Drosophila melanogaster: one gene and its partner. Changing the gene in region 1 together with any one later gene gives a genetic interaction. Each region holds a gene or a part of one and is shown on either strand. Other genes may lie near its edges.

What was found.
Region 2: of ash1 (region 1) and Marcal1, changing one suppresses a phenotype caused by changing the other (phenotypic suppression), as found in Drosophila melanogaster (one study listed by BioGRID).

Annotation. Positions count from the first base shown.
Region 1 is NT_037436.4:19,595,452-19,600,279, reverse strand, and holds the start of ash1 (absent, small, or homeotic discs 1), read left to right. Parts: upstream 1-1,524; 5' UTR 1,525-1,894; exon of another isoform or gene 1,895-1,909; intron 1,910-2,023; 5' UTR 2,024-2,043; coding exon 2,044-2,124; intron 2,125-2,186; coding exon 2,187-4,828. Other genes in the region: Taf6 (TBP-associated factor 6), read right to left, coding at 4-173, 236-1,120. UniProt on the Drosophila melanogaster protein: Trithorax group (TrxG) protein that has histone methyltransferase activity. Specifically trimethylates 'Lys-4' of histone H3 (H3K4me3), a specific tag for epigenetic transcriptional activation.
Region 2 is NT_033779.5:4,953,514-4,959,096, forward strand, and holds Marcal1 (Marcal1), read left to right. Parts: upstream 1-1,995; 5' UTR 1,996-2,069; coding exon 2,070-2,836; intron 2,837-2,894; coding exon 2,895-3,385; intron 3,386-3,444; coding exon 3,445-3,595; intron 3,596-3,664; coding exon 3,665-3,829; intron 3,830-3,894; coding exon 3,895-4,177; intron 4,178-4,238; coding exon 4,239-4,433; intron 4,434-4,494; coding exon 4,495-4,710; 3' UTR 4,711-4,779; downstream 4,780-5,583. Other genes in the region: Jon25Bi (jonah 25Bi), read right to left, coding at 810-1,610; CG34124 (uncharacterized protein), read left to right, coding at 4,965-5,059, 5,117-5,279, 5,338-5,583. UniProt on the Drosophila melanogaster protein: ATP-dependent annealing helicase that catalyzes the rewinding of the stably unwound DNA.

The DNA of each region.
Region 1 (4,828 bases):
TACCGGGTGACACGGGTTTGCAGATTGTTGGTTAGGGTATTGAAGTTCTTGCAGATTTGAGCCATCAGTCGGGAGGCAAAGTCTCGCAGGGCCCAGTGATTGTCCAGCTCGGGGCGCATACACAGCTGTTTGGACACAATGCACGTCATCACCGAGGGTATCAGTTCGTGGAGCTATGCGGAGACAACATCGTTTTTATGAGAAACAAAGAACAATACAATAAGAAATTTCTTACGTATTTCTCCAGAAACAGCGAAGGATTATCCAGAAGCGCACGAACCATGCGCATGAGGTAAATAAGCAACGCCAAGTTGTTCTGAACCACATTGACCTTAACTCCCTCGGCAATGAAGGTGCACATGCGGGGAAGCATTTCGTGCAGGCCAGGATCGGATCCCAGCGACTGCAGCGCTTCCCCGCGCCGCGGCTCATCAGATCCCACGCACGCCTCGGTGATCTCCTTGTAGTACAACTGCTGCTCCACGGACAACTCGTGCGTGGCCAGTTGCTTGACATGAATGGTCTCCACGTTTTTCAGCTTGTGTATCTTGCCGGTGGTGGGTTTGCCTGCCGCATCTTTGTTTAGGCCTTGATCCATCTTAATAACTGGATTGACCGAGTCCAGTAACTGGGAATCCTTCGAGAGCGGAGGGGGGTTTTCGGGCACAGTGGGTTGCACTCCCTCCACAACAAACCAATGGGAGCGCAGGGTGAGATCCAGGGGAATTTTTACAGAGTTGGTGGATGTGATTTCTCCTAGGTCGATTTCCTTGTCCTCGGTGAAGTGCAGCTCCCGTCCTCCGCCAGATGCGAAGCGGAATGGAATGAAGTCCTTGGCTACGAAACCGTACTGCGGCTCCACATTTCGCACCTTAAGGGACATGTCGATGTCCCGCACTGAGAGCTTCTGCCGCTTGGCGTGGTTCATGAACTTGGCCGCATCCTGTACAATCCTCTTCAGCTTGATGGACACATCCTCCGCTAGTTCCTTGGCGGCGTCATCCGACAGGGAGCCCACTCCGATGCTCTCCGCGATCACCTTCATGGACTCCGCCGAGATGCTGGAGCCGTACAGCATGCTGCTGGAGGGGCTGCTCGGTTTCGACGGTTTTCCACTCATTTCCCAGGTTTTTACAAATAAACAAATAATAATCGCCGAGCTGCTCGGCCAGTGTGCACACACCCAAAAGAGAAAATCTAGCTATTCTGGCTTTTTTGTTGTTTCATATCGTCTGCTATAATTAGTTTTATGGTCACCTAAAATTTTGCTATTTGCGAGTTCATGTAAGGAATATATTCCCATAACAAATATTTAGTTACAATAGTAAAAAAAATATAAGAATTCATTTTTAATTCATAAAAAATGTCATATTAATATTACTGGTTTCACATTGTTATACAATAATCGGCTTGTTTTTTTCCAGCTATTTTTGAATAGAATCCACTATTGTTCGCGATAGTTGCCTGCTAAATTCCGCCGCAAGGTCACACTGTCGCGTAGACATCACGTACACCCCAGCTGGGCACACTGAAACGCAGTCTTTTTCTTTATTTATGTTCGTAAATTTTTGGTTGCCTGGCTTTTTGTTGTTGCGCCACATTAACAATAACAATTGATGCGCCCCGCCACCGCCCACTAGTCGCGAAAAAAGTGAATTATCGGTACCGCGGATTAATGTGCCACATGCGAGAAGCGTTGCAACGTTGCGCCGTCGTCGGGCGTCGAACAAAGCAGTTTTTGGGAAAGTGAAAACGGCGCCATTTTAGAAGCAGGCAAGCCACGGCCTAAGGCTCAAGAAAAGTGCAAATGCAATGTGTGCAGCAATAGATTGTCATTTCGGCACAAACGAAACCGACTACTGAGGTCTACTACTAGCCCAGAAAACAATCAAGCGTAAGTGTGCTGTAGGTAATGGTTTTTTTTTTGGACGATGTCACCGCGGTTTGACCTACTTTAAAGGCGATTAAGAGTGCCACCAAATCGAATTAAAAACACTTGGCTAACAAAAGCGAACCTTTGCAGCTCCCCAGCGACTCCAAAATATGAGCTGTAGCCAAAATGAGACGGCAGCAGCAAAGGTTCTGGAAACGCAACGCGCACAAGAATCCGGCAGTGAAAATGAGGCAAGTCTTTAAAATGGCACCCTTTATGCAATGCTATATGTAAAGTGTGTTGTTCTCCTCAGGAAACCGATTCCATTACGGATCAATCGAGCCAGTCGAAGTCGATCAAGTCAGCCACCCAGTTTAGCGTGCAGCGTTCGGACACCGATGGACTGCGAATGAGAATCTCGGCCATCCGCCCCACGTTAGGAGTCGTAGCAACCAAGAAACCCCCAAAGTCCAGAAAAATGTCTACCCAGGACACCGAGTCCGGCTGCTCGGAGGCCAAAAATAGAGCGGTCAGCAAGAAAGTGAAGGTCAAGCGCAAGAAGCTGGCAAGTTCCAGTGGGATTAGTAAATCGGACAAAGTGTCTAAGTCTAAGAAGTCACAGATCTCGGCATTTTCCTCGGACTCAGAGGACGATCTGCCCTTGAAGGTGCATCAGCAGAGAGCTCCGCGAGTGCTGCTAAGTGCTATCATCCAGGCGGCACAGTCGGCCAGCAAACCCACCCTCGATATCGGAATCTCGTCCAGCGACAACGAGTTACCTAACCTGGTGCAGGCGGCTATCAAGCGAGTGGAGAGCGATACGGAGGACACAACTGTGGAAGGAAGTTTCCGCAAAGCGGCCAAGGACAAGAACCTACCCCAGTACCAGTCAACTTTGCTGCAAGACTTCATGGAGAAGACTCAGATGCTGGGGCAGACCGTCAATGCGAAGCTTGCGGAGGAGAAAGTGGCTAAAGCTAAGGAGGAGACCCTAGTCCAAACAGCTGTTCCTCGAAAGCGCAGAGGTAGACCCAAAAAAGTGGTTCCCACAGTTCCTGCCCCAGGAAACTCTGGCCCTGCTATAAACGAATCTGCCGATTCGGGTGTGATAAGCACCACTAGCACAACGCAGAGCACTACTCCCTCCCCGAAAATGCAAAATGAGAATGCTGTGCCGACGGGATCGCTGCCAATCGCCTCCAGCAGCAAGCCTAAGATCGACATGGCGTATCTGGACAAGCGAATGTATGCCACTGAGCGGGTGCTCTATCCACCGCCCAGGAGTAAGCGACGGCAGAACAATAAAAAGACAGCCTGCAGTTCATCCAACAAAGAGGAACTTCAGCTTGATCCGCTGTGGCGAGAGATCGACGTGAACAAGAAGTTTAGGCTGAGGAGTATGAGTGTGGGTGCGGCTAGTGGAACAGGAGCAAGCACCACTATTTGCAGTAAGGTCTTGGCCGCTAAGAGCGGTTACGTCTCGGATTACGGAAGCGTACGACATCAGCGGAGCAGCCACAACCACAACTCCGGTTACAAGTCCGATGCCAGCTGCAAGAGTCGATACAGCACCAAGAGTTGTATGAGTCGCAGGAGCAGGGCAAAGAGCTGCGGCTACCGGAGTGATTGCAAGGAATCTGGAAAGTCAGGCCTAAGGATGAGGCGGAAGCGCCGGGCTTCCATGCTCTTGAAGAGCTCAGCAGACGATACTGTCGAGGACCAGGACATCCTTCAGCTAGCTGGATTATCTCTGGGCCAGAGCAGTGAGGAGAGCAACGAATACATCAGTAAGCCGAGCCTTAAAAGCCTTCCCACGACAAGTGCCAGCAAGAAGTACGGCGAAATCAATCGCTATGTGACCACCGGGCAGTATTTCGGTCGAGGCGGTAGTTTGTCTGCCACCAACCCGGATAACTTCATTAGTAAAATGATGAACCAGCGTAAAGAAACCCCGGCTCCCAGCAAATCGTCCTGCAAGATTAAATCTCGCCGCTCATCGGCAGCCAGTATGTGCAGCAGCTATGTGTCTGGGGTGTCTAGAATGCGTCGCAGACATCGCCGGAAGAGTTTCAGTCACAACAAATCATTGAACATTGATTCCAAGCTGCTCACCGAAATCGAGATAATCACAAGCACCTTCAACTCAAGGTGTCGCATCCAAGATGATCGTTTGACCGGAAGCAGTGGCAAAGAGAAGCTATTGGCCGATGCCAACAAGCTGCAGGCCACCCTAGCAGCACCAAGCCCTGCCCAGCAGTTGACTCTGAATGGAGGAGGACCAGCTTCCACCCTTTCCAAACCATTAAAACGGGGCCTAAAGAAGAGAAAGCTGAGTGAGCCCCTAGTGGACTTCGCTATGCTATCAGCTAGCGCTAGTGGAACTCCCAATGGCAGCGGAAGCAGTAATGGAAATACCAAACGACGACACAAGAAATCTCAAAGCAATGACAGTTCCAGTCCCGATGATCACAAGTTGCCGTTGAAAAAGCGCCACTATCTTTTGACTCCAGGAGAGCGTCCGCCGGCGGAAGTAGCATTCGCCAATGGGAAATTGAACGCAGAGGCCTGGGCTGCAGCCGCGGCGGCTGCTAAGAGCACTGCGTCTACCAAATCGCAAGCCCAGTTTAATGCTAGGAGCGTAAAATCTGCGCTAACGCCCAAAAAAAGACATCTCCTAGAGCAACCTACGTCTGTGAGCGGAGCTGGCTCGTCGGCCAGTAATTCTCCCCTGAGAATTGTTGTCGATAATAATTCCATAAGTGGTGGAAAGTTGCTGGATATAAGTCCTAGTTCCTTGTGTTCCCTCAAACAGCAGAGGAGAGGAGGAGCAGCTAAACAGAAGGTGTCGGCAGCGAAGGACCTCGTTCAGCTTCAATCCCCAGCTGGTAGCTATCCTCCCCCCGGTGTGTTCGAGCCATCTGTGGAGCTGGAAATCCAAATTCCTCTTAGTAAACT
Region 2 (5,583 bases), on another chromosome or scaffold:
GAGCGCACAGAGATTAGGGCACACGTCCTGTGGTCATTCAAAAGTAGTATTACAGTATAATTCGCTTAGCTGCATCGATAGTTAGCTGCATCGGCAAGATATCTGCATTATTTTTCCATTTTTTTGTGTGAATAGAAAATAGAAAATAGAAAAAAAAAAATTAAGTTAGCTGCATTTTTAAGTTACCTGCATCGAGGCATTGTGCAAAGTACTCGAGGCAGCTAAGCGAATTATACTGTACTTAACGTTCGTAAGTGCGCTACATTGTTTAGGTTTTAATATTAAACGCACTCCCATTAAAGTTATTAAAATTAAAATTTAAAACAATAAACTAAACATTTACAAGTAAAAAGTGAAATATTTTAAAGACGAAAGTTGTATTATTTTTTAGAAATATATTTCATATATTTAATAAATATATCACTTCGCTTTTGTGATTTGTCAGTATAATAATCCTTTGGAATATATAATCTTTTGGTAAATATATATATTATTTCATTATCTGATTATTGACTAGTATAGACCACAGTTGCTAGTATTCCTACTTATGTCTATCATGGCTACATATATAGTGTTTAATCATGTTTTCCAGATAACAAGTGTTCGATTGCCAAGAAACCATCCCATTTCTTAGCCATTCATGGCTTCTTATCTATAAGACGTTTATTATAGATTCGGATTCTGCATGACTAGACTTTTGAAACTTAAAAATATCCATGTGATTTTTTAAATGTAATAAAACCAGAAACATAAAGGCGTCAAATTAATTGTTATGCATTTCGTTTATTTAAAAATAAAGATAATCAAGCTTAGTAGTAAGCAACGCCGGAGTTGTCGCGGATCCAGTCCAGCTGGTTGGTAACACGGGTGAATCCGGAGGGCAGGCCAGCGGTGCAACCGTTGCCGGAAACCCAGGAGGTGACACCCACCAGGCGGCCACCGTCGTGGAGAACCAGGGGGCCACCGGAGTCACCGGAGCAGGTGGACTTTCCGCCGGAGGTGGACACACAGAGGATGCCATCGGGCTGGGTGCCGTAGGTGCGGGAGCATTCCGAGTTGCTAATGATCTGCAGGTCGACGCACTCCATCCAATCGGGCTGGGATCCGGCGGTGGTCAGTCCCCAACCGCAGGCGACGGCCCAATAGTTGTCGTACATGTTGTAGCGATCGTTGAAGCTGGGCAGCTCCACCTTGTTAACCATGTGCCAGAAGTCCACGTGGGGGGTGCGGATCAAGGCGATGTCGTTGCCGTTCTGGTTGGGCCAGTTGTGGTTCTGGATGAAGTCGCCGCTGCCGACGGTGTGGGTGAACTGGGCGTTGGTGCGCCAGGTGGCTCCGTAGTAGATGGTCACCTGGGAGGCGCCGTTGGTGCAGTGAGCAGCAGTCAGGACCCAATCGTGGGCGATGATAGAACCACCGCACCACCAGCCGCCGTTGCCGCTGAAGCCCAGACCCACGGTGTAGGGAGCCTTGCCCTCGTAGGCTGGATATCCGTTCACAATGCGGCCATTGATCTTGGTGTCCTTGGGCAGGTCCTTGGGATGAACCTGCTGGACAGTCTCGGCGGAGACAGCGGCCAAAGCCAGAGCCAGTACAACGAACACTTTCATGGTGATTGGATCAATCGTGGTCTGCGCCAGACTTCCATCCGTTTTTATTGCGCCCCTTATCGCTGTCTGGAGTAGCCCCCACTCGGCGTTATCCTATCTCTAAGAAATTCGCCCTCTGATACCAATGGAAATTAATTGATAGCACGTCTAAGAACATCTTGATAGGCAAAAAAAATAATAACTCGCTTTTAGGAAAAATTCTAAGCTGATTATCTTCGCTTACAACCGACGTAGGCAATATAAGAAAACAGAAATGATTTTAATTTAATTTAAGGACTAAATAATTTATACATAATATATACATAATAATGTATACATAGAGTATGTAAAATGTAAAAATAATTTAAAATAGGCGCCCAATGTAAGATGTAAGGATTGAAAAATGGCTCACCTGGTCACACAGAGCCATGCATTTATTGTTTATATATTCCGCCAAATTTTATCAATTGATGTCGCAGCATGTCCACTTGCAGTTCATCCGAGATAGCGGAGAAGAAGCGCATTGCGCTGGCCAAATTGCAGGCCAAGAAATCCCAGCTGCTGGCCAGCGCACCCGCAACCAATGGAAAATCAACAACGTCTGCAACAGGTGCGACGCAACATGCGAATAATGGAAAATCAAATCCCAATCAACCGCAGGCCAAATCCCCATTGAATTTCTACCGATCACCGACGGGGGAGCAGAAGAAGATCAACAGGAGCGGTCCCACGCCCGGTGACAACAAGAGCTCATCCTTTCTGAACGCTCTGAAAGCAATCAAACAGACATCCAACCGGGAATTGTCCCGCGGAGCAGCACATCCTTACCAGCGGCCAAATGGAGGGAACGAAAGAAACAAGCCCACTCTTTCACTGAGTTCGGATAAGGAGAAACCGGTGGCTGTGCTACTCGGAAACTCCATCACGTGTAATCTCTACTTGATCAGCACACATCGGTTTGCTGCCCAAACCTCAGGATATCACGAACAGCTCGTGACCGTGTTCAAGAACATGCCCACCAAGTGCTACGATGGCCAAACCCGTATCTGGAGTTTCGATCTGTCGGACTACCAATCCCTGAAAACTCATGCAGCGGATCTAAAGCCATATGTTCACATGAATGGCATTCCGAAGAAGGTGCTGGATCTCTGCGGCCAGCCGCCAGTAGTTCCGGAAAGAAGTGTTTTAGCTTCCATAGAACCGAAGCTGGCGGACCAGCTAATGCCCTTCCAACAGGATGGGGTATGGTAAGCATTGCTTGTATGCTATGTACTTCCAAAAGCGCTAAATTTATCATATGTTTAGCTTTGCCATAGCCCAAAAGGGACGCATTATGATCTGTGATGAAATGGGCCTGGGCAAAACCTATCAGGCCTTGGCCGTAGCCGACTATTTCAAGGATGATTGGCCCTTGCTTGTCTGCACCACCGCTTCTACGAGAGACAGTTGGGCGAAACACATAATGGATCTACTGCCGAAGGTGCCCATCCACTATGTCCAGGTGCTGAACAACAATCAGCTATATGTGGGTGAGGCCAAGGTGCTAATCACCAGCTACAATATGATGGAGCGACACGAAGATAAGCTGATGCAGCGGAAGTTTGGTTTCATCATCTTCGACGAGTCGCACACGCTGAAGAACAGCAAGGCCAAGTGCACGACAACGGCCAAAAGACTCACGGATCAGGCGAAGCGGGTGGTTTTGCTATCCGGCACACCGGCTCTCTCCCGGCCATTGGAACTTTTTACGCAACTGCAAATGATTGATGGCAAATTCATGAATTTCATGGAGTTCAGTATGTCAAGAATGTCTGTTTACCTTAGAACGCGCTTATATCGATTAACACATTCACAGCTACTCGTTATTGTGATGGAAAGCAGTCAACTTTTGGTTGGGATGCCAATGGTCAATCGAATTTGGAGGAACTGAAGGTCATACTTCACCTTAAATATATGCTGAGGCGAACGAAAGTGGAGGTGCTGCCTCAACTCGCTGAGAAGAACCGGTGGGTTGTTCACATTGTTGTATATCTATAATATATTTTCTAACATTTCGAACATTCTTCCATCCGCAGTGAGACTGTCGTCCTGGATCCCGCCCTAGTGTGGACCAATGCGGAGACCAAGGAAACCTTGGATGCGTTTAACAAAGAGCTTAAAACCGCTAAAGGCAGGGCAACGGAAGAGATCTTACTCCGTTTCTATGCACGCACTGCCGAAGTGAAAACTCGAGCGGTCTGGTAATAAAAAAAATCATTAAAACCATATAAACCATCTGAAGTTAATGTATTATCCTGCATTATAGCGCCTACCTAAAAACCTTAGTTAAGGAGCAGAAAAAGTTCATTATCTTTGCCCACCATCGTGTCATGATGGACGCCATTAGCGACTTCCTCAGTGGATTGAAAGTACACTACATACGTATTGATGGACAAACGCGTAGCGATCACAGGTCGGATTCTGTGGACACGTTCCAAAAGAAGAGCAGTTGTAAGGTGGCCCTGCTCTCCCTAAAAGCCTGCAATTCAGGAATAACGCTAACTGCAGCTGAGATCATAGTGTTCGCTGAACTGGACTGGAATCCTAGCGTAAGCTTCGCTTATATGTTAACTTGGAGAACGCTTAAATTTAGTTTTATTTTATGTGCAGACTCTTGCCCAGGCGGAGAGCCGTGCCCATCGCATTGGTCAGACAAAACCGGTGATTTGTCGCTATCTGATTGCTCACAATACGGCAGACGATATAATCTGGAACATGCTGAAAAATAAGCAAGAGGTGCTTAGTAAAGTGGGCATCTTTGCCGAAAATCTTCAGAAAGCAACACACACAGCAGCACCCACTTCAGTAAGATACATTTTGAATACTTTGAAAAATGTATTTTTCGCTAACTCAACTTTTTTTTTAGTCCCACAAGATCGAGGAGTACTTCTCGCCCTCCACGTCCACCTCCCTTGAACCGGAAAGGAATAGCATAAAACAATATTTTTCAACTATTCCAGCTAAAGAGCCGCCTGAGCAAAATAATAATACAGAAATGACCAAAGTAAACAAGGCTGAGTCGGATATCGCGGCGTTCTTTAACGATGATGATGATGAGGCTTTTTTGGAATTAGATATTTAGATTGTGTAATGGAATTTAATCCTAGAATGTTTATTGAGTTAATCGTAATAAATTGTATTTGAGAATGTTATAGCATTGAATGAAACTTGTTGAACGCACTTCTGCGCATGCTCCACGTTTGCAGAACTCTTTTCAGATAGCCGGTTTCATGTGACCTGGCAACAGGCAAACAAACACTCAAGTAAACCTTTTCACTTGTATCAAATAAATAAATACACAGCAAGTTAAGTTTTGTACAATAATAGCTAAATAATATGGATACTACGCAGGAATCTGATCTGCTGGGCGAAGAGGAGGAGTTGGAGAATGAGAACGACGTATCCTTTCCGCGTGATATCGTCAGTGTAGAGTGAGTACGGAATTGGAAGTTGATAACTTTTTCTTGATTGGAAAACTTCTGCTGCAGACACTCCTTTGGTTACGATTGTAAGAAGCTGTTTAATTTGGTCCTTGTGGATTCAGACACGCTGGTTTTTGCCTCTGGAAACTTCCTCAACTACTTTAGCATTTCGCGCCAGGAGATTTCCTTTCAGGAAACGGTCTACGGCTGCGGAGTGGGCTTTATAACGGTGAGCTTTTTAGTACCTTTGAGTACCTTTGTATGATCTAATGGTACTCCATTGCCAGAAAAACGAGCATCCTGACTACACCAACCTCTTTACGGTGGGCGAGAACGGAGCTCGTCCCACTGTCTTTATCTACGAGTATCCATCGCTTAATGTCCGTGTTAAGCTACTGAATGCAGCTCAGAATTGTTTTACGGCGGGCTCCTACAACAAGACGGGGGAATTGTTCGCCTCGCAGGCTGGCTATCCGGATTTCATCATAACTATCTGGCGTTGGGAGAACGCTGAGGTTGTCCTGCGTGCCAAG